7 linked regions of the Mus musculus genome follow. The protein of the gene in region 6 interacts with the protein of the main gene of each other region in a biochemical or structural test. Links are inferred from orthologs where the notes say so. Each region holds a gene or a part of one and is shown on either strand. Other genes may lie near its edges.

Region 1 (4,157 bases), on a different chromosome or scaffold from region 6:
AGAGATGTTAGCTTGATGGGAGGTTCCTTGTGGTATCAACACACTAAGTCATTACTTGCTTGACTATGTTGCCAGGTTGTGGAAGATAGTGGGGAGAACTAGAGTGGTCAAAGAAGACACTTTTGTGATCGAACAGTTGGAAGGCTCCCAGCAGCTGTTGTTCATGCTTCAGGCCAATATAGTCCCACTATTCTAACAGAAAGCACAATCCTATCCAAAGCGTTAGCAGAATGACACCTCTACCTTGGGGTAGGACTCACCTGCTTTTCTGCCTATCTTATTAGTTTGTTTTTCAGAGACAGGGTCCCATGCACATCAGGCTGGCCTCAAACTCACCACGTAGCCAATGTTGACCTTGAACTCACCTTTCCTCTAGCTCTTGAATACAGGGGTTCTAGGTCTTTTGTCAAATACCCAGCTTTGCTTCTGGTCTAAAAATGTTTCCAAATTAACTTGAATATCAGTGAGAAAAACAATAGAGAAAAAGTGGTGTAAGCCGTATCAATCAGAACCGAAGTTAGATAGACCAAAAAGACATGTTCCTTTGGTCTGAAAGTTACTGAAGCAGACACAGTGAGCACTCCTATAATTCCAGCACAGGGAAAGCAGATGAGAGACTTCTGGGAGAGCACAGTTGTCTGATACAGAGCTGTTGTGTACTAGGAGATGAATCTGATGTACATATGTAGCCTGGCCTGCAAGAAAAAAAGATCCCTTTTAGGGAGACTAATTATTAACCAACAGGACAGTCTCCCACCTAAGGACCCTCACCCCACACACACTGGCAATAAATAAATAAATAAACAAACAAATAAATAAATAAATAAATAAATAGGACAAAAAAGAATCCTTTGTCCTAGAGCATCTGAGGCAGGGGTTGGCGGGGTAACTCATTAAAGGATACCTCTAAGCAGCTAGCAGCCTCTCATCCCCAAAATAGTTCCCTTAGAGCCCAGGCTTTCTAGAAGTGAAGGTTGTTGCCCTAAGCAAATTGGACTCAGATACCTGGTTCTTACTGCCTGCTGCCTTTTGCCTTGTTATGACTTAGTTTCCCTGTCGGTCTTTAGGAGACACCACCTGAAAGAAAGAGGAGGCTGCGGGCCATGTTTATTTAAGCTTAGGAGTCTCTTGTGAGTGGACCATCGACTGTGAAGTCAGCCCGAACAAACAGGGAATGAACTGTCCTGGACCAGCTGGAGAGGGTCTGAAGCCTGTGAGCCCCGGGTGCCCCCGCTGCCACAGAGAGGCGGGGGCGGGGTGCAGCAGAAACCACACCGGGCTCAAGTTTCCTCTCTTGGCCAGAAGGGGCAGGAGGAGAAGAGGGCCACGGGGAAAGGGAAGGGTTGGAGGAAGCACTGGTAACTCCGACCGAGGGCTTCGGAGAGACCGCCGGTGCGCCCGCTTCTACCGGGGCCAACCGGTGCTCCGCGCCCAGCCATGGCCCGGGGGCGGGGCTCGGCCCTCAGTAGTACTCAGAGGCAGCGCTCAGCGCCCAGGAGGTGTCAGCTCTGACCCAGCCTCTCAGGGACACTACCCGCAGCCTCATCTCTCTCCTCGCCGGGCTTGGAATCCGCCACAGGTGCCTGAAAGGCGAGTCTGAAGGGACGCCTCAGTGGGCTCTGGGGAGGTCAGGCTGGGCAGGTGGAGGAGGTACAGGGAGGAATACCTAAGTTTCTGTCTGGATGTTTCTAAGACATCTTCCTAGACTATACCTGGTGTAGGAAACTGATACATTAGGAGTAATAATACTACTTGGAGATACTTTTAGATGACTTCCTGGCTGTTCTAGGACCCTTGGGGTGGCTGGGGTGGGAGGTTGTAGGTGGGGGGGCTACACAATGCTTTACTAAATAGCACCCTGGAGGAGCAGGGGAGTGAACAGGAGGAACCCTTCAACTGGCCTGCTGACTGGGGGAGCTAGTAGGCTCCAGTAATATGGTGCCACCTTGTACCCTTCCCCATGGTATTCTGTAGCCCCGACCATCTGAGATTTGGGGGAAGCGAAGGGACCATAAATATGGGATGTCTGAACTTCTGAAAAACCTTGTTACAGCAAGGTGGGGGGGTTGGCTGAGTGGTTCCCCGTTGCCTCTCCTCCTGTACAGTCCTAAGCTGGACCTGAAAAGAGGAGGGCATTCAATCTCAGTGTAGATGCTTCTATGGAAACTCTTGGCTGCTAGTAGCAGGAGGTTGAGATGCTATGGGAGAAAAGAGAGCCACCAGATCTGCGGACTGCAGCCTCTACTTATTGCTTCCAATGAGCCAGAGTTCTAGGGATAGAGTCACTGGAGAGCAGAAATTCATTCCCTTTTCCTTGTTTCCAAGCATCATGTTGATATATATATATATATATTCCCAGGGGACTAAGCCTTCGTGGTTCAAATCTTCCCTCTTCGTTCTATTGACTTCTTCTCTATTTTGCCTCTGCGTGCCTCTCCCTTTTGAGAAATTCTCCGTAATCTTTGTAACAAGGTTGCTTACCTGCTAATTTACACACCAAGTTTTACTCATATCTCTCTAATCCTTCCTTTGTCTGTGTTGACACCAAGAGAGGTGGGGTAACCTAATAAGCCTCAATACAGTACCCTGAAGCAAGCTCCCTGTCAAAGAAGTTCAAAGTCTTAGGCTAGCAGTGGAAGCCAAAATGTCTTCTTCTACCTCTCCAAATGATCCTGTATCCCTAGAAAGTTTTGTAACCTGTGAAGTCTTTGGAATCATGAGAAGATCTTTGGAAGATTCTAAGGATGTAGCTTGGTGGTAGAGTGTTGGCATGGCATATTCAAGGCTCTGGGTTGGTCTGGAAGGAGGGAAGGAGAGTAGGCAGGTAGGACCACCAGAGTGAAAAGGAAGAATGGAAGTTTCTGCAGTTGGCTCAAGTTCTACCAGATCTACAGTGTGGAGGATCGAAGGGGATAACCACCCCAGTAGATCTGGTGGTTTTATGACCTGAAGAGGAAGGCTAAACTGTAAAACAAGAGCAGTGTTGCTAAAGAGCCCCTGGAAAACTAGCTCACATTCCCTGTCTCTTTTCACTACCCTCTCTGGTATTCTTTCTGTCTGGCTTCTAGTCTGTCCTACTGGCTGCAAGCTTGCTGGTCCTCTGAAAGGCAGGCTCCCAAGATCCAAAGGGCCTGTGCCTGGTACAAGCCAATGGTCTGGTGGTTTCCTTTATGAACCTCTGCTCAGCCTCCAGCCTCTTCCTGCCCCCTCTACACTCTTTTTTTTTTTTTTTTTTTTTTTAATCTCAGGAACAAGAAGACTTACTTTCAGGTCTTCATAGGAAAGGGCTGATAGCTAGGTACCACTTGAAGTCTAGCTTTGCCTGGGTTTGTAGCTAGATGAAGAGTATAGACAACTTGCTATTCCCCTTTCCGGCTTTATGTTCTTTCCTGCAAATTCATCTAGATGTGTGTTTCTTGAGGTGAGTCTGGCCTCCTCTCTATGTCTAGGGCATTGTTGTTCTTAGGGGCCTGCACATCCCAAGGCATCAGGCATGTTTTCCATACACCCCAGGTAAATGTGGCTGACTAGATGCAGCTTGTTCCTTCTACAGTTGTGAATTTCTCTACTCCTGTCTCCATTTAGCTGGAAACTGTGATGCAATTTGTCCAAGGCCATACATCTTGAAGGCTGGAGAATCTTGCCTACTAGGGCAAGATCTTTGTATAGTACCTCAGATTCAGATCCAGGAAGACAGGTGAGACAAAGAGAGGTAGACTGGGTGAAGAACTTTGATGCAACAGTATAGTCCCTGCCTACCCAAAAACTCCTTCTTCATTCACTAAGCCTTTGGGCAATTTCCGCCAGAACTTGGGTGGGGAGGGTGGAGTTCCGGTGTTGAAATGGCATCCTGGACAGACATAAACACCCCACCCATTCTACCCGTTGGTCAAAGGCCTGTCTATATCAACTCCCATTTCTGGGGATGGCTTTATAGCAAGAGGGTGGAGGCAGAGCCTCAGGCAGATCAGTTGTTAAAAGGACACTTGGTAGTGGCTATACATTTTGTGGTAGGTCCAAGAGGAGACTCCATAATGAATAGCAGGAGGAGCTATCCTTGTGATGGGTCATATAAAGTCATACAATTTGAGGTCATACAGCCCTATCCTCTGGTCTTCTGTAAGGCGTTTCTTTTATTTATATGATGTGTAGTGTGG
Region 2 (4,395 bases), on a different chromosome or scaffold from region 6:
ATTGTCCATTGTGAACACCTGATTCGGGTGCTGGGACTAAAGGCGTGTGCCACCAGATGTGGCTATGGATTTTCTTTTACTGGATTTGTTGCTGTTTTATCTTTGTGGGACAGAGTCGCTGGACGGTTTGGAATTGAATACACAAACAAGGAGCCAGGGCTCAAACCCCCAGCCGTCCTCTCACCTCTGATCCCTGATTGCGTCATTACTAATACCCATCTTGGACTATGCTCTTTAAAAACTGCTGGGCTGGCTAGGGACATAGTCCAGCTTAGAACAGTGCTTTTCGTGATGTGCATGAATACTGGACTCAACTGATCATCATAACTTTGTAAACCCAGGCTCGGTGGTACACACCTGTAATCTCAGGACTCTTTCTCAAAAACCAAACAAACAAAAATCTGTAGCCATTTGACTTTTATTAGTGTGCACCTAGAAAAACAAACAAACAAACAAACAAACAAACAAACAGACAAACAACCCCAAAGCGAACAGAAGGGTCTCTTGCACTGTGAGTTAATAATGTACCTGCCATTTCCCAGAACTGTTTTACTCTGCAGCTGAGGCTGGTCTGGAAATCATTATGCAGCCCAAACTGGCCTCAAATCTGTGGCAATGTTCCAGGATGTAGGGCACCATGCTGTCTGCTTCAAACCAAACACTGGTGTCTTAAGGTTAAGGGTAGGTACGCTAAGATGCCACCCAGAAACTGAAGAGTTCTCCCAACCCTCGACAGCCCTGCGAAAGATACAACTCAGAGGTGGAGTTTAGATTCACTACAGCGCAGTGGGGAGACACCCACTAGCAGAAACGAGTCAGTGGTATTTTCAAAGTCCTACCTGGCGGTTGGTCATGTGCTTTGTCAGTCCACTCAATTATTCTAGGTCCTGTTTAAACCCTGCTGTTTAACTTCTGCAGCGGGATCCGCTAGATCAGAGCAGGAAGCAGCGCCATCGCGAGGCGGCAGGCGGCAGGTGCTGGGCGGGGAAGAGGGTGGGGAGCGGACCGCTCAGTCCCCAGAAGTTCACAGTCCGACTCTGGGTCCGGGATCTGGATCTGGGTCGATTAAAGTGGCGTATTTTATTTTTTTCGGGCTTTGCCAGTCCACTGTAGAAGGGACTGCATCTCGCACTGCTCTGTAAGTTTGCAATGAATACCCAAATGTAAGCGCGAACTACTCATGACAGTTGCGGAAATGAAGACGGCTGGTTACGTAATGTTTAAATGTACCATACACCAGATCATCAAATTTAAGTTACATTTCTTCGATTGAGTTTGCTTAACATGAGGAAGCTAGGATGAGAGAGGCGTACAAATGTTTAAGTAGTCTTGTAAATATAATCTCTAGCCTGGCCTATAATATAAAAAAAGACTACAAATTCCAGAATGCACTCGTCACTAAACGCAGGGCGAGGCCGCGGTTGCCGGACCACTGCCTGCTGGGAATTGTAGTTGGCTGCTTGTTTGTGATGCAGGTGCAACTTGGGGGAGGGAGAGCGGGAGTAAACTCTCCCCACGTGACAGTCCAGATCAGGTGGTTGGTCAGCCTGCGCGCAGGAACTATGATTGGCTGACTGTAATACGAACGACGCCACTAGAGGCGGGCCAAAGACCAGCGCAAGCGCAGAGCGTTGCGAGTCTCGGGACCCCAGTGGGAGAGACTATGGCGCTCAACAAGAATCACTCAGAGGGCGGCGGAGTGATCGTCAACAACACTGAGAGGTGAAAACACGGCGGAAGGATCCTGGAGACTTGAAGGGCGGGTGTCGGCCACTGTGTGTGGTGGGCGGTGGGATATGGTGGAGAAGGAAATTGATGGAGCGCTGTGGGGGGGGGGGCGTGGGGGGGGAGGAAAGAGGGAGAAAGGGGTGGTAACGGCCGGAGGCGGGGCTGGAGGGAGTGGGTGGGTCGTTGGGGAGGGCCGGAGTGCTGATCAGCTGGGGTGATGGGTGGGGGTGGGGCCAGAGAATGGTGTCAGGGTTTGTTTGGGAAGCCGAGTGAGGCCCACGGGTGATTTCTTGAACCCCTTCCCAAACGAAGTCTTAAAACATAGTTGCTATTTATTAGGCGTTCACTACGTCTTTACTATGCTGCGTCAGCTCTACCTTAGGTAATACATAATCCTGTGCCGCAGAAACTATTAGACACATTTTACAGGTAGGGCAAGTGACGCCTAATGAGGTTAAAATAACTTAGACCATTGTGCTGTGAGTAACAGAAGGGGAATTGAAGGAAGGTAACTTGGCCCCAAAGTCAATAGGCTTAACTACTCCTGTACAGTTTTCTCGTATATTCCAGAACTTCTCAAGTTCCAAAAGAAAGGCTGAGGCCCTAGAGGTGGTGGAACTAAATGTCTGTCAACTACTTAACCCGGTGACCCTTATAAAGGCTTGTCTCTTGCCTGGTTCTCTTGAATTCTTAATGGCTTGTGTCAGTTCCCCGAACAAAGGTCTCCCAACTTTAAGATTCTTTTTTTCTCTCCCCTCCTTGAACTGCTGGGCTTCTCTGTTCCTCTTGTTTCTTGTTCCTTGGAATTCTGACTCTCCTGACTTGCACTATCCGGGCTTGGATTAACTTGAGAGCCAAGAGAGACATGATGGAGGTCAGAGCCCACACCCAGTGTAGACAGGCACCCATCTTGGGACTTGTCACCTGGGAAGCTGACTCAGAGGAGAAGGTGGCAGTGACAAGGCCAGGTTCTGCTGACCTCGTGTGCGTAGGTCTTGGGAAGGGGCTGGCCAGCACATGTGCCTGGTGACCACTTCTTTAACCTGAGCTGCCCCTCTTTTATTGCACCAAGAAAGGATATTTGGGACAGGAGGAGACAGCTGAATGGAACCATACGAACTCAAACCTTTTTATCTTGTAATCTGAGAAACCTTACATTGTTTTCTGGTATACTTTGTCCAGTTCTTTGGCTGAGCCAAGTACTCTGATGCCATCTAATGACTGTCCCCACTTCTACCAGTCTCTCTGGTTTTTGAGGTATGGTTTCATTCCTGTAGCCCAGGTTGGCCTTGAATTTGAGGCAGTCCTCCTACCTCAGGCTTTTAAGTGCAAGGAATTCACCAGGGCTCTTTAGTTTCATTATTTGGGAGTGATTCCTTTTTGTTTGTTTTTCCAAGACAGTGTTTTTTGTGTAATAGAGCCCTGGCTGTCCAGGACTCACTAGGTAGTCCAGGCTGGCCTTGAACTTACAGAGATTCACCTACCTCTGCCTCCTGAGTGCTGGGGTTAAAGGCATGTGCTACCATACTGGGAATTTTTTGTCTCTTAAACTGAGTCTTACCTAGGTGGTATCTACCCTCCTGGGCCTCAGCACCTGGTTCATAGCTCATTGCTACCAGTAGGGTTCTAAGGAATAACTTGAGCCACACTTCTGAAACAAATGTGTCAGCAATAATTGAAGTTTAAGTATGATGCTCAAACTTTGGAATTTAAACTTGTAAACATTAATCTTTAATTCACAAACCACTGATAGAGATAAGAGCTGTGAACTTGCCGGGAGGTGGTGGTGCATGCCTTTGGTCCCAGCATTCAAGAGGCAGAGGCAGGCAGATCTCTGTGCGTTCAAGGCCAGCTTGGTCTACAGAGTGAGTTCCAGGACAGCCAGAGCTACACAGAGAAACCCTGTCTCCAAAAGAAAAAAGAAAAAGAAAAGTTGTGAACTCTTCCCAGAGAATTGAGTACATACACACACAAAGACACACACGCACTCGCGCCCCTATCTTAAGGGCTTTATGTGCAGAAGTTTTCTGCTGCTGCAGCTAGAGAAGCTTGGACTAGGGGCTGGAGAGCTGGTTTAGCAGTTAGAAATACTTCCTGTTCTCCCAGAGAACCCAGGTTTAGTTCCCAGCATCCATATGGAACAGCTCACAACCACATGTAACTCCAGCATCAGGGGGTCCAAAGCAAATATAGAATCATATCTTTTACATACATACATATATACATACATACATTGATTGATTGATTGATGCTGGGGATGAGCCTGGAGCTATTTACATATTAGGCTTGTATTTATTTGTTTGTTTTGAGACCATTTTTCTGTGTAGCTTTGGCTATCCTGGCACTTACTCTATAGACCAGACTGGCCTCGAACTCACAGATCCACACACCACTGCCTCCTTGAGTGCAGAGATTAAAGTTGGGCCATCACAACCCGGCGTAGATTAGCTTTTACAAACACTGACAAAAGAGCTCTGGCTGGGACTGAGTTGGTGGAGTGCCCTCATAACCAGCACACGCCCAAGGCTCCGCCCTAGCACCTCAGGAAACCAACAGCTTGGGAGGTGGAAGCAGGAGGGAACTTAGCAAGTTTTGACCAGCCTGAGCTATAAGAAACCCTGCCCCCAAAACACCCCCAGACAGAACCCCACTCACAGGACTTGAGAG
Region 3 (3,644 bases), on a different chromosome or scaffold from region 6:
CTCCAGGGTCCGTGTCAGGGTGAGCGTTAGAGGGGGACAGTTCCCAGGGGGACCAGACTTGTAAAAGTACAAGATGTCAAGATCAACTTGTCCCTGAGCGATCCCTAAAATAATGTCATCGATCCTGTGAGGTAGGTCACCGGGGGAATCACTGCTGGCTCCTGCTGGCCACCAGCTGGAAGCTAGGATTCAGGGTAGTAAGAATAGGTAGAGATGCTCAGCGGGAGAAACTGGGTGTGTTGATGGCATGCTGGATTTCCTCATAATAGTGTGAGGGCCATGGAGCATAGCTCATCTCCGAGGACCTTCTGCCTCTGTATGCAGAAGTCATGGAAAGATCCAAGTGGCTGTCCTATGAGAAATCCAAACACCGCTCTAAATCAAATGCTCCAGGTTTATGAGTAGGGGAAGGAACATCATAATGCTTCGACATGACTGTTTAGAAGTATATAGATCTCCCAAAACCCATAGATACCCATGGCACTAAAGCCTCATCGATCTGTTTTAGGAGAATACACAGAGAGATCTCTAAGAGTACCTATTCCGATACAATTCTTTATAGCAACAATAAATTCACCAAATATGTTTAAAGGTGATGAACAGAGGAGGTGACCCCATATACATCCTTGAGGGGGTAAATACAGGACTCTGCCCATGGCACACTGTCACTGTATCGTGACTCCACTTTGCTAGTGGTATACTCATGCATAGCCGAAGGGAGCTTCTGAGACGCTCCATCCCCCACTCCTCAGGACCCTCTATGAGCTAACTTTCTTCCAGACTGTAGTTTTCAAACAAAAAGCAGAAATGAATTAGCAAGCAAAATGCTGCCTTTAGAAAGGTACCAAAGGGGTTCCCCAGGCTGAAAGCATCCTCATAGGACATACCGGTCACTTCCTTCTCTAGCTCTTACAGTGAGCTTGTCTGCTTTTTGCAGGACCAGAAAATCTATATCTACAGCCTTAAGGGTATGTGCCCATTAAGCGTGCCCCAGCAGGCCCTGGACACCCCAGCTGTCGTCACCTGTTTCTTGGCAGTACCTGTTATCAAAAAGGTAAGGTGGGGAGAGGACATATTCAGGTCTGTCACCAAGTGTGGGAGGATCTCCTTGCTGAGAACAGTGGAGTCACACCTTTCTGGGCCACCTTGCCCAGGTCATAGCCAGCTTTAGAGACACAGGCAACCACCGTTAACCTGTGCCTACCGTCCATGAGCAAATGCCAGTGCCCCTGGCTTAGATGAGGCTCACGCTGGTGCGGATGATGAAGCAAACACGTGGCTCCTTCTCTTGATAAAGGCATCAGGAGCCTCTCCTCTGCCCTGGCCACTGATTTTTCTGATTAGTGGGCGTAGCTGATTCCCTTTCATCTGCCTCTGCCTTCTCTCAAAGACTTGCTTTCCTTCCCAGGCCTCAGTCCTTCATTGCCCAGCATTGCCCAGCATTGCCCAGCATTGCCCAGCATTGCCCAGCATTGCCCAGCACTGCCCAGCATTGCCCAGCATTGCCCAGCACTGCCCAGCACTGCCCAGCATTGCAGAGCAGACCCACTTCCTCGCCCTCCTAACCCCATTCACTCAGTGTGCTCCCCAGCCCCAGCTCCACCGCACCTTGGCATGGAATCTAGCCTCACTAGGGCTGGCAAGGCCACCTCTTGACTGGCCCTGGGCCTTCTCCTCCAAACAGTAGACACGGGAGCTTCACCTTCTCTTCTGGTGAACTGTCAGGAACTCCTCTGAGAAGTTGGGTGGCACTGCTTGCTCTCCCAAGCTCTGCTTCCTTCCCTGGATCCAATCAGGTCACAAGGGGCCTGTGGGTAAAACGCGTGCCTTCCACCAGTGCATAAGCATCACTTCCTAGCACAGCTTTTTATAATGTGCGGCCTGCCCTTATGTGGTCCCCATTTGTCCGCCTAACATGAGGATGATTGAGTAATGAAATAGGTCTCTGGACCTATGGAGCCCAGAGTTCCAGGCTGGGTACTTGGAGCTAAAGGTTGCTATGACTTTGTATGTCGCCAAACCTGTGAGCTTTTCTCTGCACCCTGATCTAGCTTCATTTCTTTATAAAAGGGACAGAAAATGGGTATGAAATGAACCTTACAGTCATTTATGACTGTAGCCCCAGGAGCACCCTAGGCAGCTGGGATCTCTACACCAGAGGCTGGGAGAAACGGACACAAAGCATTATTGAAGGGCCCTGACAGCCAGAGCCCCAGCCAGGGCTCACGTCTTGCCGGAGCAGGGGAAATAAAGCGGACTCTGTGTGAGCCTCCTGCGCAGGGTGCCTGCCCCCGTGGAGGTTGACCTGCGGAGGCCACACAGGGCAGACCGTGCGTGCATTCTTGCACAAGCACGCTCACAACCCACCGAACGTGGTGTTCCCCACGCCGGCCAGCAGGGCCAGGATCCAGAAAGACTTATGGCCTGTTTGCTCTGGCTGCTTTATTGACCTAGATCCTGAAGATGGATTTTGAGAAATTTTCCTAGGGCTCCTTACTGTGGATGTTGTGTGAGAGGCCACTCACTCTACTACCCTGAACAGCTGCCCACCCCGCTCCACACAGGCACCCTGACTGCTAACAAAGTGGCTTTCTGCCATTCCCCCTGGCTAGATAGAACAAGGCTGGGGTCCTGTCATGAACTCTGACTTGGTTCTGTGGCCCTTTTCCTGACCCACTCACTCTGTATCTGCTCTGCTCTGCTCTGCTCTGCTCTGCTCTGCTCTGCTCTGCTCTGCTCTGCTCTGCTCTGCTCTGCTCTGCTCTGCTCTGTGAGACACCCCTGGAAGCCTGTATTTGGCTTTGTACCTGCAGCTTTGGCTTCTGCCTAGTAACCTCTGGCGGTGGCTACAGAGGAAACGGTGCTTCGTGGTAAGTCAAACTCCTCAGTAGTGTCAGCCCAGGCTCTTCAGAGTGTGGATGTGGGCACATGGGACCAAGACATGCCAGCAGGAGAGTTAAGCTAGAAGCTCGTTCTTCCAGGGTCATAGATTGTCCACTTGATGGAAACAGTGGGATCCCGGGCCACAGAGGTGTCTCAGACTTAACCCTTTCCTGTGCCAGTGCAGTGCCCAGGTGACAGTGGTGGGCACAGAGACCTGCCCCCTGCTTTTCTGGAGTTCTCCACCGTGTGAGCAATAAACAGAACTCATGCCTATAACAGCTGTCATGTTAATAAGCTATCTACAACAGGGAGAGCATTCTGCCCTGCCTTTCATGAGGCCTTCATGGCATCCAGGAAAGGCAGCTCCCCGCTGCTCCTCCAGCAAGGGACCAATGCCAGGTGGTGGCACCCTTGCTTGATGCCCTCAGCACTATGGGCACTGTTCTCCCTGGCTTACCTCTTGCCTTGCAGCACCAGTGGTGGGTGTGGCTTTGCTGGGGCAAGGCTACATCATCTCTGGACAGAGTCCTGAGACCCCTGAGCAGGCCAAGATTTCAAAGGCTTTACTTCTCTGAGGCACTATGGAAGATCATGTGACCACTTGAGGCACATAGAGAGATGAGTCTGGTGTCTGTGGTTTCTCTCTTCGCATGTGTGACATGAAAGAATATTGTGTGTCCCTGTCCCTTCCCCCCACAGAACTCCTTCCTGGTGCTGGCAGGCCTGGCTGACGGACTCGTGGCTGTGTTTCCTGTGGCACG
Region 4 (4,101 bases), on a different chromosome or scaffold from region 6:
TTTTTTTTTTTTAATTGATTATAATGTATTCCTATATATGAAACTCTTAGGGTAGTTCAAAGCAGCCGTGTTTTTATAAATATAACTAATACATAAAGATATATCTAAAGTTAAAAAATTAGAGACAAAGATAGCCCTACTGTTATAATCAACTGCAGAATACTAACTTGGAAAAACGATGAAAAAGCAACAGAAATTGTAACATGCTTTAAGGAGTGAAGGATTCTTTCCAGTCCCTCATCCATGATGGATGTGTGCTTAGTACTGATTCTAGACAGCTAGATAATGATAAAAAAGAAACAGCCCCAGACTAAAAAACAGAGCTATATTCTATGGAAGACAAACACTCTTGCCTCAACAAAGCTCATAATATGAACTGTGTGATAATGGTTAAGAAAGCTGGCTTAATAGACTTGCATTCCAACTTTCCCCCTCATCGGCTCAGGGTCTGTGAGTAAAACAGTGAATCCTTTTGCAGTTTCCTCATCTGTGAACCGCTGCTTATAGGAACTCCTACACCCAAGTGAGGGGAGCTCCGAGTTAGGCAAGGCTAGCTCTCTCTTGCCTCAGCACATGCTCCTGCTATCTAGATAAATCCTTCAAGTTTTGACTTTGATATCACTTTCTCGGAGCTGTAATAGAGTTTCTGTATCAACAGAAAAACTACTTATCGGCCCTGTACATTAGGCTCTAATAAAAATAACCTAATCTTAAGATTTAGGGTCAGCAGCTGGGTGGTGGTGGCGCATGCCTTTAATCCCAGCACTCGGGAGGCAGAGGCAGGCGAATTTCTGAGTTCGAGGCCAGCCTGGTCTACAAAGTGAGTTCCAGGACAGCCAGGGCTATTCAGAGAAATCCTGCCTTGAAAAACCAACCCCCCCCCCCAAAAAAAAAGATTTAGGATCAGCAATTACTTTTTGTAAAGGGTAAGTAAGACATAGTCTTTAGAGTTTGCAGGCCACGCCAGAAGGCAAAGGCCGTGTTATAATAAAACTTTATTTGAGGATATTTAAATGTCAATGCACGTACATCCTCAGGGTCTGGACTGGCGGGATGAGGCCCCTGCCCTGTGGCTGCCTGACCCCTTACCTCTGAGGATGGCAGTTATGAAGGGAACTGAAAGAAACCTCAACCCTGCAAGAAGGCGACTTCAGCGACTCCGGAGTAGCTGCGGCGGGGGCGAGGGGCGCGGCTGGGCCCGGAGGGGCGGGGTATAGTGCGGAGGGGCGGGGCGGCGCCGCGTCGTCGTCGTCGTCCCCGCCTCCTCCCCAGGGGCCGCGGCGGAGCCTTGGCGGACGCGCTCAGTGCCGGAGGAGAACGTCTCAGCGTCGGCAGCGTCCGTCCACACACGCCCCGGCGCGTACCTTTCGGCCTCCCGGCGACCCCCAGCCGCGGCGCTCGCGCCCGATCAGCTCTCTCGCTCGCCCTCCTTCCCTGAGGCCCGCTGCGCCATGGCCTTGGCGTTGGCGGCGCTGGCGGCCGTGGAGCCGGCCTGCGGCAGCGGGTACCAGCAGGTGAGCGGCCGCGGGCCCGCCCCGCCCTCCGCCGGCCACTGGACGCCGGGGCTTTGCAGGCCGCGCCGGGCCTCGGCCGGACCCCAGGGCCTGGGCCTGTCGTGGCTCGGGCCAGCCGGGAGGGACCTCGTTAACCCCGGTTGCCAGGTCGGGCGGGGCCCGGAGGCTGAACTCGTGGCGCTCTAGGGGCTGCGACCAAGAGGCATCAGTTTTTCCTTCTCTCAGCTTTGGTTTGATGTCATTGGAAAGTCAGGGGGCGAGAAAAAAAAAATTTTAAGCAAAAAAGATAAAGGAAATGGGTTCAGAAGAAAAGATCCTAATCACCGGTACCTCCGCTGGCGGCTGTCCGCAGCGAGGTGCGATTAGTCAGGGTTTCGGAGCCTCGTTTCTGTCCAAACCCATCCCCCTCGCTCCCTTTAAAGATTCGAGTCAAAAAAGAAAAAGAAAAAAAGAAGCGAGAGAGGAGCCCGCAGCTTTCAATCGATTTTGGAAGAGGCGATGTTTGGCTGGAGAGGCCCCAAAATGTAGGGCTACGTGAGGCTGCAGGGCGTGTGCCCGGATGTATTTTGCACGCTTAGAAATGACGTTTAAGAGATTTAATAGCATATCTAGGGAGGAAATATATCCAGATGATTGGATTATTATCTGCTGTGTGATTCTGTAAATTGAGGCCCTAGGGAAAAGAGATTTTTCTCCTCTCCCGGTGTGTGACTGGGTTTCCTCGGGAATTTAGAGACTCTTTTTGTGGAGGGAAAAAAAAAAGGTATTAATCTAAAATATAACGTAATCGTGGGAGTTAAGCCAGGAAGTTGTTGATAGAACCGCAGGCAGCTGCTTCTGTTTTGTCAATTTCAAATGTTTTCAGTATTACTTGCATACAAAAATGCCAGTCCTGCTTTTTCGACATAAAATGGCGTGAATCAAGAGATCTCCGTTTACTACGTTGTAGAAATAAAACCAGAATGATTAAAGCGTGTTGCAGATTAACCCTGTCGGGACCAGTTGCTGGTTTGTTTTGCTGTCTTCAGCGTTGCGTTGTAATCCGCCCTTCTTCCCGCCCCCGCCCCCGCCTCCGCCTCTGCCTCTGCTCCGACTCCTGAAATGACTAGTTAAGAATTTAGCCTCTTGGTTTCATAAACGCCCCAAATTCTGGCCTTGCAGACTGATCTTTATGTCTTCACAGCCTTTATTCTATGACCTTGCATGAGGTTCCGGGTGCTTCCTTGCTTTAATAAATTCGAGTCATAGATGTCATTAGACTTTCATCGACGTGTTTACAAATCCTTTGAACCTTATAGCATCAGTCTTTTCATTCCCGACTTGGATGGGCAGAAGAGCTGTGGGTTTTCTTTGTACTGCCATCTTACTTAGCTATGGGGTAATGCTGGTTGACTGCTATAATACAGAAAATTTGTTAAAGAGTATTAAAATTATGCTTTTGTTGGCTTATTGTTTAATAGCTCTTTGATTATGCAGAATTTAGGTTATGTTAGAGATGGGCCATCTTTAATATCGTTATTCTCAAAGTAATTAGTTTGCTGGGCATGGTGGCTCATGCCTATAATCCCAGCAGTTGGGAGGTTGAAGCAGGAAAATTGAAAGTTCAAGGCCAGCCTGGACTGCCAAATTAGTTGCCACCCAGCATGAGATACAGGAAGACTCTGCCTTGACAATAACAAAATACATTTGAAAAAATAATCTTCAATAAAACATGAAAAAAACCTTAGAAGAAATTATAAAACATTGAAGCCAAAAAAGTCTAGCCAAACACAAATCTATTCCCAAAAGTTAATATGTGGGCACATAGTCTTGTAGATGAGAGCTATGTAAATATGCAAAAGTGTGATCAGTGTGCATGTGCACAGAGAAGGAGTGCTGGTGGTGACTGTGTACCAGTCACAGCAGACATGGTTTACAGCCATCTTTACTGAACCCTTACAGCACTTAGGAGGAAGGGTTCGTTCTCATTTTATAGATGGCAAAGTCAAATCTCTAAGGGTCTCAGCGACTTGCGCAAGTTCACAAAACTACTAAATTATGATAACAAGAGTGTTCATTTACTCACCTGTATAGAGGCTCATGCCCCCAAAGACAGGCTGTATCCATTAGCAGATACATAAGTATACACGTATATTATGTACTCATGAATGTAGGCAGGCACATCTTTATACATTCATGCAGTTTCGTGCGCTCCTAATCACACTTGGATGTGTCCATTGTCTCAGGCATGTGCATTTACTTTCATGTGTTTTTGTGCACATACACATGTACAAAGGCACACAATCATTAGTAATATTGGATTTTCTTTTTCTTTTTCTTTTTTTTGTTTTTTAAGACAGGATTTCTCTCTGTGTAGCCCTGGCTGTCCTGGAACTCAGAAATCCACCTGCCTCTGCCTCCCAAGTGTGTGCCACCAGTGCCTGGCAATGTTGGATTTTCAAATCTCCTGGTTTTCTTTTTTTCTGTTCAGTGTTGAAGGTAAGGCCTATAACCTAGGGCCTTTCCCTTTCTACACAAGCCCTGTACCACTGAACTATATCTTTAGCCCCTCTGTCAGCTAGTTTTAATGCCTGTGTGGCATGAATTG
Region 5 (3,644 bases), on a different chromosome or scaffold from region 6:
TATGAGTGTTCTGCCTGCATGTATGTATGTATGTATGCATGTGTACCACGTGCCCATGGATGTCAGAAGAAGATGTTGGCTCCTCTGGAACCAGAGTTGCAGGTGGTTGTGAATTGTCTTGTGGGTGCTGGGAATTTAACTTATGTCCTCTGTAAGAGCCCTGGTGTTCTTAACCACTGTTAAGGGGTGTTTCTAGCCCCTATTTTATTATTTTTAGTATATGGATATTTTGCTTATATGTATGTCTGTATACCAGATGCATGCCTGGTATCCACAGAGGCCAGAAGAGGGTGTTAGATTTTCTGGGACTGTAGGGTGTAAACTCTCATGTGAGTACTTGGAATCAGCCAGTGCTTCTAAAGACTTTTATTTATTTATTTATTTATTTATTTATTTATTTATTTATTTTATATATGTGAATACACTATAGCTGTCTTCAGACACACCAGAAGAGGGCATCAGATCCCATTACAGATGGTTGTGAGCCACCATGTGGTTGCTGGGAATTGAACTCAGGACCTCTGGAAGAGCAGTCAGTGCTCTTAACCGCTGAGCCAGCTCTCTAGCCTACAGCCAGTGCTTCTAATCACTGAGCTATCTCTCCAATGTGTATCTTTCTGTGAGTCTGTTAATTTTCATTATTATATCACCCTCCCCCTTTAACATTTTTATTTGCTGAACCTTGACCATCTTACTAGAATTTGAGAGGAAGACAGCTGTAAATGCTGAGATTAAGGAATTGGAGAACTAGAAGAAAGAAGGCATGTCCTTTGAATCAGGGACAGCAGTGAAGGTTGTAATGTTAAAAAATGTAAAATATAGTTAAATATAGCTTATATTCCTACTTAGTTTTTTAGGTGGCTCTTGTACATTTGGTAAAATCTATAACATTCTCAAAAGTTAGTAGATTACATTTAGGAAATCTCCACGTAAGTAATATAATATTATATATATATATATATATATATATATATATATATATATGTATCACATTTGTAATAGACTATATGTAACCAAATTAAAACAATTCTTATTCTATAATTTTACAGTTGATAAAAATGGTGATGTTTGCATTTCTATTCTTCATGAGCCTGGGGAGGATAAATATGGTTATGAGAAGCCAGAGGAACGCTGGTTACCTATCCATACTGTGGAAACCATCATGATTAGTGTCATTTCTATGCTGGCAGATCCTAATGGAGACTCACCTGCAAATGTAGATGCTGCGGTAAGGTATTTGCCTGATAGCTGCTGCTTCTGTCCTTTACTCTTTTAAAACTCAACTTGAAACTTAATACATATGTGCATTTCTTTGTCCATATTTTCATACAAATAAAAATTATTATATATACTGGATTATTTTGTACAGTCCATGTATAATAAATTATTTTGAAATATATAGGATAAATGTGGTTATGAAAAGCCAGATATTGTATAATATGTACTGTGCCATAGCAAATTTGAACTAGTTGGCATGTATTAATTCCCTCATTAATTTTTATAGTAAGAACAATTAAAATCTACTCTTTTTCATTAGTATTCAAAATAGTGGATTTCATTATGTTATCATATATTCATAAAATTATCTTGTAGTTGTCTTGGTTTGAGGACTTTATTTTTAACTTTGAAAAAATAAGAATTAAAAATTGCTGTTGTCCCTGCATTCTTTTAATGGTTATTTATTATAAGAAAGAAATATAGGCTAAGTATTTTTGTGAGCATTTCCTGGTATCTACTTGTTTATTAAAAATTGGTTTTGTTGTAATTTAACTATGTTGTTCATGCTGGTACTGGTGTCATTCAAGGAGACAGCCATTGTTCCTACTCTTACAGTGTGCATGCGAGCGACAGGGGGGGAGGGGTGTGGAGGGAGAAAGAGAAAGAGAGAGAAATAATCTGTGTTTTGATTGACTTTTGCTTGTTTGGGGCTAGGTGCCTTATCTATCCTGGCTCTTTCAAGACAGCCCTGGGGAGTGGATCCTCCCCAGCATGTGCTTCTTCAGTCCCTAACTCAGTCCTCAAGCCCTCTAGCTACTTAGCCATTTCACTACCCACCCTTTTTCTATTTTAAAAGAGAATTTTTCCAGTAGCTGTCATTAGCATAAGAGCTTTCTATTTGTAGTTCCTAGCCTAGTGCTTTACAAAATTTGCTTTTGTACCTCATCAACTTTTTGGCAGGGATAGTATTAGGCTCTGGACCTAGGTCCTCATATGCTCTAGTCAAAGGGCTCTCAGCACCTGAGCTGTATTGAAAATACTATACGGGGCTGGTGAGATGGCTCAGTGGGTAAGAGCACCCGACTGCTCTTCCGAAGGTCTGGAGTTCAAATCCCAGCAACCACATGGTGGCTCAAAACCATCCGTAACAAGATCTGACTCCCTCTTCTGGAGTGTCTGAAGACAGCTACAGTGTACTTACATATAATAAATAAATCTTTAAAAAAAAAAAGAAAAAGAAAATACTATTCTATGCCTTGGAAAAAAATTGTGGAGTTTTTAGGATTGATTTAAAACCAGGTTTAAAACAAGCTAGGCAAGTATGCTACTACTAAGTTACAACCCTATCATAGCATTTTAAGATGTATAATCACACCCTGTCTCGGGGAAAAAAAAGATGTATAATTACAAAAGGATCATATTTATAATTCAAATAGGCAGTTTTGATTATAATAGGTTTATATAAAATAATTTGATTTTAATTTTGTATCTGCAGAAAGAATGGAGGGAAGACAGAAACGGAGAATTTAAAAGGAAAGTTGCCCGCTGTGTAAGAAAAAGCCAAGAAACTGCTTTTGAGTGATGTTTATTCAATAGTTAGTAACTTCACTTATTTCAGGGTAAGTTCATTTTAAAACTGTGCAACTCTTTAACTTTTTTGCTCAAATGCTAGCCTTTTTTTTTTGGAGACAAGGTTTCTCTGTGCAACCCTGGCTATCCTGGATCTCACTCTGTAGACCAGGCTGGCCTCGAACTCAGAAATCCGCCTGCCTCTGCCTCCCAAGTGCTGGAATCAAAGGTGTGCGCCATCATGCCCGGCACTAATTTTTGTAGATCATTTGATTTTGCTATTTGATTTGTATATATTGGCTCAATTTTATTCTTCCAGTTCCGTATACTGTAGTTTGCTGCTTCTCAGAGCTTTTTTTTTATCTTTTGGAGCACTTAAGTATTTTTACGTAGATGTTCTGAATTAAATAGTTTCATGTTAATAGTCTCCTTATTTTCACTGGTAGTAATGAAAGATTTTTAACTTTTTATTTTTTAAATGCTGCTGGCAATTAAACCCAGTTCCTGGAAAAGGGTACCCTATCACTGAGCCTGTATTGATGGTAAAATTTCTGGTAACGAAGATGTCAGTTGGTTCTTCATTTCACCCTTTCTATTTATCTTCATTTACCTTTTTAAATGGGAACTGAAGTATCTTGGACCCTCTTATGCTGAATATTTTGTATGGTGAGCCCGCCCCATAGCCCCCCCCCCCCCCCCCAAAAAAAAAATAAAGATCTGAAAGCTAGTAATGAGCCCTTGCCTAGTGTTCAGGAAGTCCTGAGGTCAGTCCTATTCTAGCTTTTTTGTTGCTGTGATAAAATAACCAACTTGTTGAGTTCTTAATTAGGGTTTCTATTGCTGTGATAGCGAACTTT
Region 6 (4,292 bases):
AAAGTAACAAAATATATTTATAATATTTGTTAAAATATCTTATAGTATGCCCAGTGACAAGAATCATCTGGGATGCTAGTTTAAAAAACAAAACAAAACGAAACAAGAAACCAACCCAGATTCTCCTAGAGCACACCACTCTCTCAATATTGGGGATAAAATCTTGGGCCTCATCAATGCTATGTAAGTATCTACTAGTGAGTTACATCTTGAGCCAACTCTTACAGCTTAATCCCTAATGTGGCAAACATTGGCTGGAAGTGCAGAAGAACTTTTAAATACTTAAACACACCAAACCAAAACTAAAAAACAAAAACAAAATCCCAAAAACCCAAACCCAGGGTTTCACCACGTAACCTCGGTTGGTCTAGAACTCTCAAGATATTTGGACATGGCTAGCCTTGAACCCACAGAGATCCATTTGTCTCTGTCTTCTAATGGAACCTGAAGCTTGCTGTGTGGTCTAGGGCGTTGACTAGGGAGCTCCTATGTCTGCCCACCACTGTTAGGGGTCCGTTGGTGCCAGCTTTTATATGAATGCTGGGGTTTCAAACATCCTTGTGCTTGCATGGCAAGAGCCTTTACCCACTGAACCATCCTCCCAACTCAGAATCTTTTTTGTTTAATAAACTCAGCACATAATTCATAATATGGTAGTTTCAAAGGTATTTCGAAAAGTTTAAGTGACTTTCTAGATAGTTTCCTTACGAGGAAACAGGATAAACAATAATAGCAAAGTTTGCTAATTATCACGTGCCTCTATTATTACCACTGCACAGCCTATTAATTCGGTAGGATTAGATGTGTTTTGCCTGGGTTAAGAAGTTTAATTTAAGCATCTGAAAAGGTAACCAATGGCATCTTTCACATAGTTTTGTTGTAAACGTTTAGAAGTATGCTTTTCAGTTTTTATAACTCATGCCGCCTTGGCGCTGTCAAGCTGTCACCCTCCTAAGAACTTCCTGTCAAAAGGTGGAGAAAGGAGAATTTGAACCCAAACAGTGTAACTCCAGAAGGATAGAACCGGCACAGTGCTTCATAAATTGTGATTCCTGCTGTTAGGAGTATCAGGAGAGAACTTGATAAAAATGCAGATTATAAAGCAACCCCTATTCCATCCCAGATCTACTGAGTCAGAAACTGGCGGTGGAGCTCAGCAGTCTGTTTTTAAAAGCTGTTCAAGTGATTCTGAGACACGCTAGCATTTGGTAACAGTCTTTAGAGGTCCTGGCGGGGAAGAAGGGGTCAAAAGGAAGGAACGAAAGAAGAAAGGAAAGAAGGGAGAAAGGAAAGGAGAAAGGAAGGAAGAAAAGAAAAAAGCCTTGGAGATGTAGAGAGCAAGGCTTAGTGTCCACTTCACCTGGAGGTGAGGAAAAATGATTTAGGAGGCTGGCGCGCAAGGCCTGCTGGGGCCTGTAGTCCGGACTGCGCCGAGGAGGCCGCGCCTGCGCACTAGGTGTGAAGTAGCTCTAGTCGCTGTAGTCGGGGCTCGGGACCGGCTGCCATCTTAGCGGAGGGACTGAGGAGTCGTCGCCGCCCCGAGTCCCGGTAAACACGCGCAGGCAGACTGGGGTCATTTCTGTGGCTTGGAGGGAGTTTGGATGAAAAGGCATGGGGAATGCGAAGGGTAGAGGAGTGTGGCGCTCGAGTCTGGACCTAGAGCCGGGGCTGCTCTTCCCGCAGCCGGTGTCCGTGGGGGGCGCCCGGAGAGCCGGCTGGTGGCCCGAGCCGAGTGGCGGGTGGGTCAGCAGGTCGAGCCGAACTGCTAGTGCTTGGCCTAGGCGTCCGGAGCCTGTAGGCCCGCGAGCCCCAAGTTGGGAGAGAGCCGAGCCGCGGCGGACGTGGGCAGGGTCCAGCCCCGCGCCCCGCTGCCGCGCCCGGGGGTTCCTCTCCCGCGGCCCGGCCTACGCGCGGGGCCCGGTGGCAGCGGCCCGCCCGCGCGACGTGGCCCTTTGAGGGGCGGCGGCCGGGCCCACCTGCCACCTGGCAGGCTCCCCCCGAGACTTTTCCAAGCTCCCACTCGCAGAGGACCTTCCCCAGTGACTGCTTCCCCTTCTGTCTTGTACTTCCCTCCTCCCTCCATTGTCCCCACTCATGGTGGTCCCGGCCCAGGCCGGCGCCACCGACTTTTGCAGACGTGGAGCTGTCACAGCCCTTTCTACCGAGAGCGTACTTTTCTTGAGCAAAGAAAAAAGTAGAGGTGAGCGCATTTGAAAGGTGGAAGCCCAATGAGGGCAGGACTTTTAAATAGAAGACTTGAGTTTTGAGACATAGTTCCCGGCTGCAACTTCAAGAGAGAAAAAAAATATATAAGGGTCAGTGCACCCGAAGTAGGCATTGGGCCTAAAGTTAGAGATGTGACCAGGTGACTTGCAAAGTACCCCAAATTCACAGTTCCCCACTCGCTTGTTTTCTTGGCTGTGTTAGAATCCTAATCCTGTTGAGACTTCTGTTCCTCTTTAAGCTGCAGTGAACTTGTTCTAAAGGGGGCAGTGGGGAGAAGAGGGAGGTTTTCTTCTTCACAGTTGACAGAACACCATCTAGCCACCCATCATCATTCTCTTAAGTGGGTGGTTCTCCTGTATCCTTATCTTAAGAAAGTAGGTAAAGGCTGTGTATGTTCACTCCCAGGATTGGCAGAGGGCTTGGTTCTCATCTGAAATAAAGTCTTTTGGGGGCAAGTTTGAGATTCAGCCTTGTGTATCACAGGGTTACCTAAGGCTTAATTTTGCAGGTTTAAAAAAGATTGAAATTTTCTTTTGAACAGTGAATATACTTTGTATGTGTGAGTTCAGGAATTCAAACTTCAGATGTCAACAAGGATATATATACTATGAATCCAAAAGCAAGTGCCTAATACTTTTTACTGTATTCTAGAGTAAATTCTACATTCTTTAAAACAAACAAACAAACAAACAAAACAACAACAAAGATTTACTTAAGAGACAGACTGATCCATGGTCCCAAGGTTTGGCCATTAGTGTAATTACAAGAGCTTTTAATTTTTTTGTTTTTGTTTTGAGACATGATTTGCTCTGTATCGCTGACTGGACTAGAACACACTGTGTGTAAACCTAGGCTGGCATCAAACGTCATTCTGTCTTCCTGCCTCTCCCTCCCAAGTGCTGGGATTATAGGTGCTTAACCAACAGAGTGGGCTCGGGAGAAGTTTTGAGATTTGTTTATTTGTGTGTGTGTATGTGTGCATGCGCACACCATGACTTGAGTTGGAAGTCAAGAGTGTTTCCTCTTTCCTGTGTGTTCTAGGGTTCACACTCAGGTCATCAGGCTTGCATAGCAAGTGACTTTCCTTGCTGAGCTATTTTGCTGGACCAGGAGAGATTTTTGAAAGTAGAGTTTTCAGCTCAGTTGGTAGAGTGCTTGTTTACCACACACAAGGCCCAAGTTTATTTAGCTCTCAGAAGCATTGGGAGGTGAGGCCGCCTGAAGTACTTGAGACCCTTTTTAAAAAAGTAGATGCTCTCAGGTCTCAGTTTTGAGATAGAATAGTGGGTCTGGATTGGCTTCTATAACTTTACTTACAGATGGGCTGTAGGTAGTTGGGATGGTTTTGGGAACACTGAGGCAAATCATAGTATGGTTATAACAAAGACAGCACAAAAAGCTTTGAGATGGGGGAGGAAGTGGAAGTGGCCTGTGTGGGATTGTTGAGGGAAGTGGCAAGACCTATGTATGAAGGTCAACATGGTTAGTTCCAGGCCATCACAGCTACCTAGTGGGTCCTGGCTCAAAAAAGGGTTAGTCTATGGACCCGAGGTTCTAGAGCAGTGGTTCTCAAGCTGGGTTTTGGCCCCTTTGGCAAGCCTCTAGCTCCAAAAATATTTACATTGTAATTCATAACAGTAGCAAAATTACAATTATGAAGAAGCAGCAAAAAATAATGTTATGGTTGGAGCTGGTAAGCCCCATGAGGGACTGTACAGCATGAGGAACTGTATTAAAGGGTCACAGCCTTAGGAGGGTTGAGAAGCAGTGGGTTAGAGGATGAGTAGGAATGGGGCAGAGGTGAAGAAAGGGAAGGAAATACCTTACTACCTCGAGGCGTGTGTCAGTTAGGAAGGTGGGAGAAAAGGAGCGCAGGGTGTGGGATGCAGGGGCCTCAGGACCAGGAGGGCAAAAGGACCTGTTCTGGAAAAGCTCTGCGTACAGTGCTAATGCTCGTGAATTTGATGTCGTGAGAGATCAAGGCTTGGGGAAAGGAAGTGGTCTAAGTTGGTGTTTATTTAAAAAAAAAATGGCTCTGATGATAAAAGTGAAAGGGCCAGAGTGAC
Region 7 (3,950 bases), on a different chromosome or scaffold from region 6:
GTTCCTGGCTCTTAGTTTGCCGCCCCAAGACTGCACTGGTCCCACCTCTTCCTGTGCCCTAATATGGGTGCTGGGGAGAGAAATTCAGGGGGGGGTGCCCCGCCCCCAATCTAATTCACGGACTCCAGCCTGTTGCCTTGGTGACGAGGCCCCGCTCCCAGGCTGCATCCCCCTCCAGCCGGCCAATGGAACAGTCCTCGGCTGCCAGGCTTATTAGTCGCCGATGGTTGCAGGCTGAACCATTTCTAGATGGGGGAGATCAGACTATGACTAGAAGCGTCTGTAGCTGGGTTGTGACTTCCCCAAGGGTCGCTTGCCGAGGTTCCTCTTCCCAGGCGCAGAATTTGGCAGGCCCAGGGTAGGGTGCACCATCCCCTAGGCTCACAATGACGAGACAGGGCCGGGCTCTTTCCCCCTCGGGGCTGTTGCCACACTTCCTGCCTCGGCTCTCTTTCCCTAGCCTGTTTCTAAGGAAGGGAGTGGGGTTGGGCGACCGCACCCCAGCTATCCCGCCCCATCGGCCCTCCAAAAGCTGACAGGATATCGGGCGAGCCCCGGGTGACTAAGGGAGGGCTTTGGGCTGAGGTACTGGGCATGTCAGTGCCCTAGGGACCACCTACGAGGTACAGCCTCATTCGTACAAGTCCTGGTCTCTGGGATCCTCCGAGTCATCTTCTCAGGAAGATCTCAGATACCCTCCTGTCATTGCCTTCATAGCTCGGAAGGAAGCTATGTCGTGACCATTTTAATTCTCTGCCAGAGTTCTGCAAATATCCACAATGACCCCAACCTTTGCTAGATATGTTCCCATCTTTCTACTCCGATTACCTCAGCGTCCCCAGGACCTTTGTTCTGAATATCTAAATTGACCTCCCCAAAATTCCTTCCCTTTTCCACTTATGGGGAAACCCTCAGACTCATCTATGGACTCTAGAGCCCCTACTCATTTCTTGTACAATAGGTACCTGAGCCCTGTTGTGTCTTGGCCCTTTCCTCCCAACTGACAATTCCAGTTCTTTAAGCACTTTGTACCCGGGACCTCTGGTTAATTCCTAGGCCAAATGTTAACAATTGCCCCTGTTTTGTATCTTCTCTGTTTTCTGGGGTCTTCTACTGTATTGTCAGTTCACAAGCCACAGCTACCCTGGGTCCCACGAGACTTTTCCGGGGATATCCTAAGGTATCCAATCTCCACTTGCAGTGTATCTCATAAGCACCTGGCTGTACTCCCGCAGTTCTAGCCCCTATGTGCCTCGGCCCCTCAACATCCCTTTGCTTGTGTGTCTCTGTCTCCACAGCCCCTCCCCCTGCAGCCGCGCAGAGCCACCCGGCTCGTGGCCGCTGTTTACAAGGACACGCGCTTCCTGACAGTGACGCGAGCCGCCTCCTCCCCTTCCCCACGCTCTAGGAGGGGGCCGCGGGGGCCTGGCTCCCGCGTCGGCCAATCGGAGTGCACTTCCGCAGCTGACAAATTCAGTATAAAAGCTTGGGGCTGGGGCCGAGCACTGGGGACTTTGAGGGTGGCCAGGCCAGCGTAGGATCCTGCTGGGAGCGGGGAACTGAGGGAAGCGACGCCGAGAAAGCAGGCGCACCACGGAGGGAGAGAAAATCTCCGGAAGCCCAGCAGCGCCTTTACGCACAGCTGCCAACTGGCCGCTGCTGACCGTCTCCAGCTCCCGAGGACGCGCGACCGGACACCGGGTCCTGCCACAGCCGAGGACAGCTCGCCGCTCGCCGCAGCGAGGCCCGGGGCGGCCCTTCAGGGGGACCTTTCCCAGATCGCCCAGGCCGCCCGGATGTGCACGAAAATGGAACAGCCTTTCTATCACGACGACTCTTACGCAGCGGCGGGATACGGTCGGAGCCCTGGCAGCCTGTCTCTACACGACTACAAACTCCTGAAACCCACCTTGGCGCTCAACCTGGCGGATCCCTATCGGGGTCTCAAGGGTCCTGGGGCGCGGGGTCCAGGCCCGGAGGGCAGTGGGGCAGGCAGCTACTTTTCGGGTCAGGGATCAGACACAGGCGCATCTCTGAAGCTAGCCTCCACGGAACTGGAGCGCTTGATCGTCCCCAACAGCAACGGCGTGATCACGACGACGCCCACGCCTCCGGGACAGTACTTTTACCCCCGTGGGGGTGGCAGCGGTGGAGGTACAGGGGGCGGCGTCACCGAGGAGCAGGAGGGCTTTGCGGACGGTTTTGTCAAAGCCCTGGACGACCTGCACAAGATGAACCACGTGACGCCCCCCAACGTGTCCCTGGGCGCCAGCGGGGGTCCCCAGGCCGGCCCAGGGGGCGTCTATGCTGGTCCGGAGCCGCCTCCCGTCTACACCAACCTCAGCAGTTACTCCCCAGCCTCTGCACCCTCTGGAGGCTCCGGGACCGCCGTCGGGACTGGGAGCTCATACCCGACGGCCACCATCAGCTACCTCCCACATGCACCACCCTTTGCGGGCGGCCACCCGGCACAGCTGGGCTTGAGTCGCGGCGCTTCCGCCTTTAAAGAGGAACCGCAGACCGTACCGGAGGCACGCAGCCGCGACGCCACGCCGCCTGTGTCCCCCATCAACATGGAAGACCAGGAGCGCATCAAAGTGGAGCGAAAGCGGCTGCGGAACAGGCTGGCGGCCACCAAGTGCCGGAAGCGGAAGCTGGAGCGCATCGCGCGCCTGGAGGACAAGGTGAAGACACTCAAGGCTGAGAACGCGGGGCTGTCGAGTGCTGCCGGTCTCCTACGGGAGCAAGTGGCGCAGCTCAAGCAGAAGGTCATGACCCATGTCAGCAACGGCTGCCAGTTGCTGCTAGGGGTCAAGGGACACGCCTTCTGAGAGCCTCCCTTGCCCCATACGGACACCCCCAGCCTTGAAGGCTGGGCGCCTGCCCCCCACTGGGGTGAGGGGGGCAGGCGATGGGCACCCGCCAAAAGGCCTGGGGCGCAGCTCACACACTGGACTCCGGCCCGCCCGCCTGCGCCCAGTCCTTCCACCTCGAGGTTTACATGGCCCCCTTCCAGCGTATTTTGTATGTTTTTTTTTTCTGCAAAGAGACTGAATTCATATTGAATATAATATATTTGTGTATTTAACAGGGAGGGGAGAAGGGGGCTGTCGCGGCGGAGCTGGCCCCGCCGCTTGGTACTCAGCCTGCGGGGATACTAGGGAGGGACCTCCGCCCCCTGCCCTCCCCCTCTGCATAGTACTGTGGAGAAGAAACACGCACTTCGTGTCTAAAGTCTATTTTAAGATGTGTTTGTGTGTGTGTGTTTGACTTTTTATTGAATCTATTTAAGTAAAAAAAAAATTGTCTTTATTAATTTCTGTGGTCTCTTTTTTCTTCCAAGCTGGGCGGATGGAGGGAGAAGATTGGGCTACCCCAAGCACGGTGCTGTTTGTAGCTCGCTCCTTTCAGGTATCATAAGGTTCAGTACAAACGCCCAGACCTCCTATCCCCTGAGTCCTGGCACCAGACGCTGCGCAGGCGGGCAGTGGCGGGGAACAAGCTACCCAGGACAAAACGCGGAATGTGCAAGCATGACCCCGCCCAGCAGAGTGCGCCGGGGCTTTCCCCGCTGACGTTACGGAAGCTCTGCCCATATATGGGCCTATTCAGCTCAGTGACGCCAGCGCGGTCTCCGGGCAGATTCCGGGAATCCCCTCCCCCCCGCTCTGCCGGGCAGGGCCGCGGCGCCGGGAAGGGGGCCGGGATTTTCCCGAGCAGGCGGCTTTCTGGGCGCGGAAAGCCCCAGGCCCGGGTCCAGGGCGCCCGCGGCGGGAGGGCCGTGCTCTCATGAGCCCTGGGAGCCATCCGAGCGGCTTTCAACAGACCGGCGCCGGAGCCCCACCGCGCCCACGCCCCCTCCATTAGACCGACCCTGGCGGAGAGTAACTGCAGCCTTCCTGTAGTTGCAGACGCCGTCAGGGCAACTCCTGCCAGGAAGGGCGGCGCCC

What was found.
Region 1: of the proteins of Itch (region 6) and Nfe2, one has a biochemical effect on the other in vitro, tested with the Homo sapiens proteins (2 studies listed by BioGRID, with this or other methods). The link is inferred for Mus musculus from reciprocal best matches to the Homo sapiens genes ITCH and NFE2.
Region 2: the proteins of Itch (region 6) and Wbp2 form a complex in vitro, tested with the Homo sapiens proteins (2 studies listed by BioGRID). The link is inferred for Mus musculus from reciprocal best matches to the Homo sapiens genes ITCH and WBP2.
Region 3: the proteins of Itch (region 6) and Lrrk1 form a complex in vitro, tested with the Homo sapiens proteins (2 studies listed by BioGRID and IntAct, with this or other methods). The link is inferred for Mus musculus from reciprocal best matches to the Homo sapiens genes ITCH and LRRK1.
Region 4: the proteins of Itch (region 6) and Ndfip1 form a complex in vitro, tested with the Homo sapiens proteins (2 studies listed by BioGRID). The link is inferred for Mus musculus from reciprocal best matches to the Homo sapiens genes ITCH and NDFIP1.
Region 5: the proteins of Itch (region 6) and Ube2g1 form a complex in vitro, tested with the Homo sapiens proteins (2 studies listed by BioGRID). The link is inferred for Mus musculus from reciprocal best matches to the Homo sapiens genes ITCH and UBE2G1.
Region 7: the proteins of Itch (region 6) and Junb form a complex in vitro, tested with the Homo sapiens proteins (2 studies listed by BioGRID, with this or other methods). The link is inferred for Mus musculus from reciprocal best matches to the Homo sapiens genes ITCH and JUNB.

The regions. Positions count from the first base shown.
Region 1 is NC_000081.6:103,252,583-103,256,739, reverse strand, and holds the start of Nfe2 (transcription factor NF-E2 45 kDa subunit), read left to right. Parts: upstream 1-1,300; 5' UTR 1,301-1,590; intron 1,591-3,585; exon of another isoform or gene 3,586-3,697; intron 3,698-3,929; exon of another isoform or gene 3,930-4,157. UniProt on the Homo sapiens protein: Component of the NF-E2 complex essential for regulating erythroid and megakaryocytic maturation and differentiation. Binds to the hypersensitive site 2 (HS2) of the beta-globin control region (LCR).
Region 2 is NC_000077.6:116,084,194-116,088,588, reverse strand, and holds the start of Wbp2 (WW domain-binding protein 2), read left to right. Parts: upstream 1-1,593; 5' UTR 1,594-1,663; coding exon 1,664-1,722; intron 1,723-4,395. UniProt on the Homo sapiens protein: Acts as a transcriptional coactivator of estrogen and progesterone receptors (ESR1 and PGR) upon hormone activation. In presence of estrogen, binds to ESR1-responsive promoters. Synergizes with YAP1 to enhance PGR activity.
Region 3 is NC_000073.6:66,262,835-66,266,478, reverse strand, and holds part of Lrrk1 (leucine-rich repeat serine/threonine-protein kinase 1), read left to right. Parts: intron 1-937; coding exon 938-1,054; intron 1,055-3,582; coding exon 3,583-3,644.
Region 4 is NC_000084.6:38,417,663-38,421,763, forward strand, and holds the start of Ndfip1 (NEDD4 family-interacting protein 1), read left to right. Parts: upstream 1-1,244; 5' UTR 1,245-1,451; coding exon 1,452-1,514; intron 1,515-4,101. UniProt on the Homo sapiens protein: Activates HECT domain-containing E3 ubiquitin-protein ligases, including NEDD4 and ITCH, and consequently modulates the stability of their targets. As a result, controls many cellular processes.
Region 5 is NC_000077.6:72,676,656-72,680,299, forward strand, and holds part of Ube2g1 (ubiquitin-conjugating enzyme E2 G1), read left to right. Parts: intron 1-1,049; coding exon 1,050-1,228; intron 1,229-2,713; coding exon 2,714-2,800; 3' UTR 2,801-2,837; intron 2,838-3,644. UniProt on the Homo sapiens protein: Accepts ubiquitin from the E1 complex and catalyzes its covalent attachment to other proteins. In vitro catalyzes 'Lys-48'-, as well as 'Lys-63'-linked polyubiquitination. May be involved in degradation of muscle-specific proteins.
Region 6 is NC_000068.7:155,132,038-155,136,329, forward strand, and holds the start of Itch (E3 ubiquitin-protein ligase Itchy), read left to right. Parts: upstream 1-1,443; 5' UTR 1,444-1,548; intron 1,549-4,292. UniProt on the Homo sapiens protein: Acts as an Acts as an E3 ubiquitin-protein ligase which accepts ubiquitin from an E2 ubiquitin-conjugating enzyme in the form of a thioester and then directly transfers the ubiquitin to targeted substrates.
Region 7 is NC_000074.6:84,976,276-84,980,225, reverse strand, and holds Junb (transcription factor jun-B), read left to right. Parts: upstream 1-1,477; 5' UTR 1,478-1,796; coding exon 1,797-2,831; 3' UTR 2,832-3,317; downstream 3,318-3,950. UniProt on the Homo sapiens protein: Transcription factor involved in regulating gene activity following the primary growth factor response. Binds to the DNA sequence 5'-TGA[GC]TCA-3'.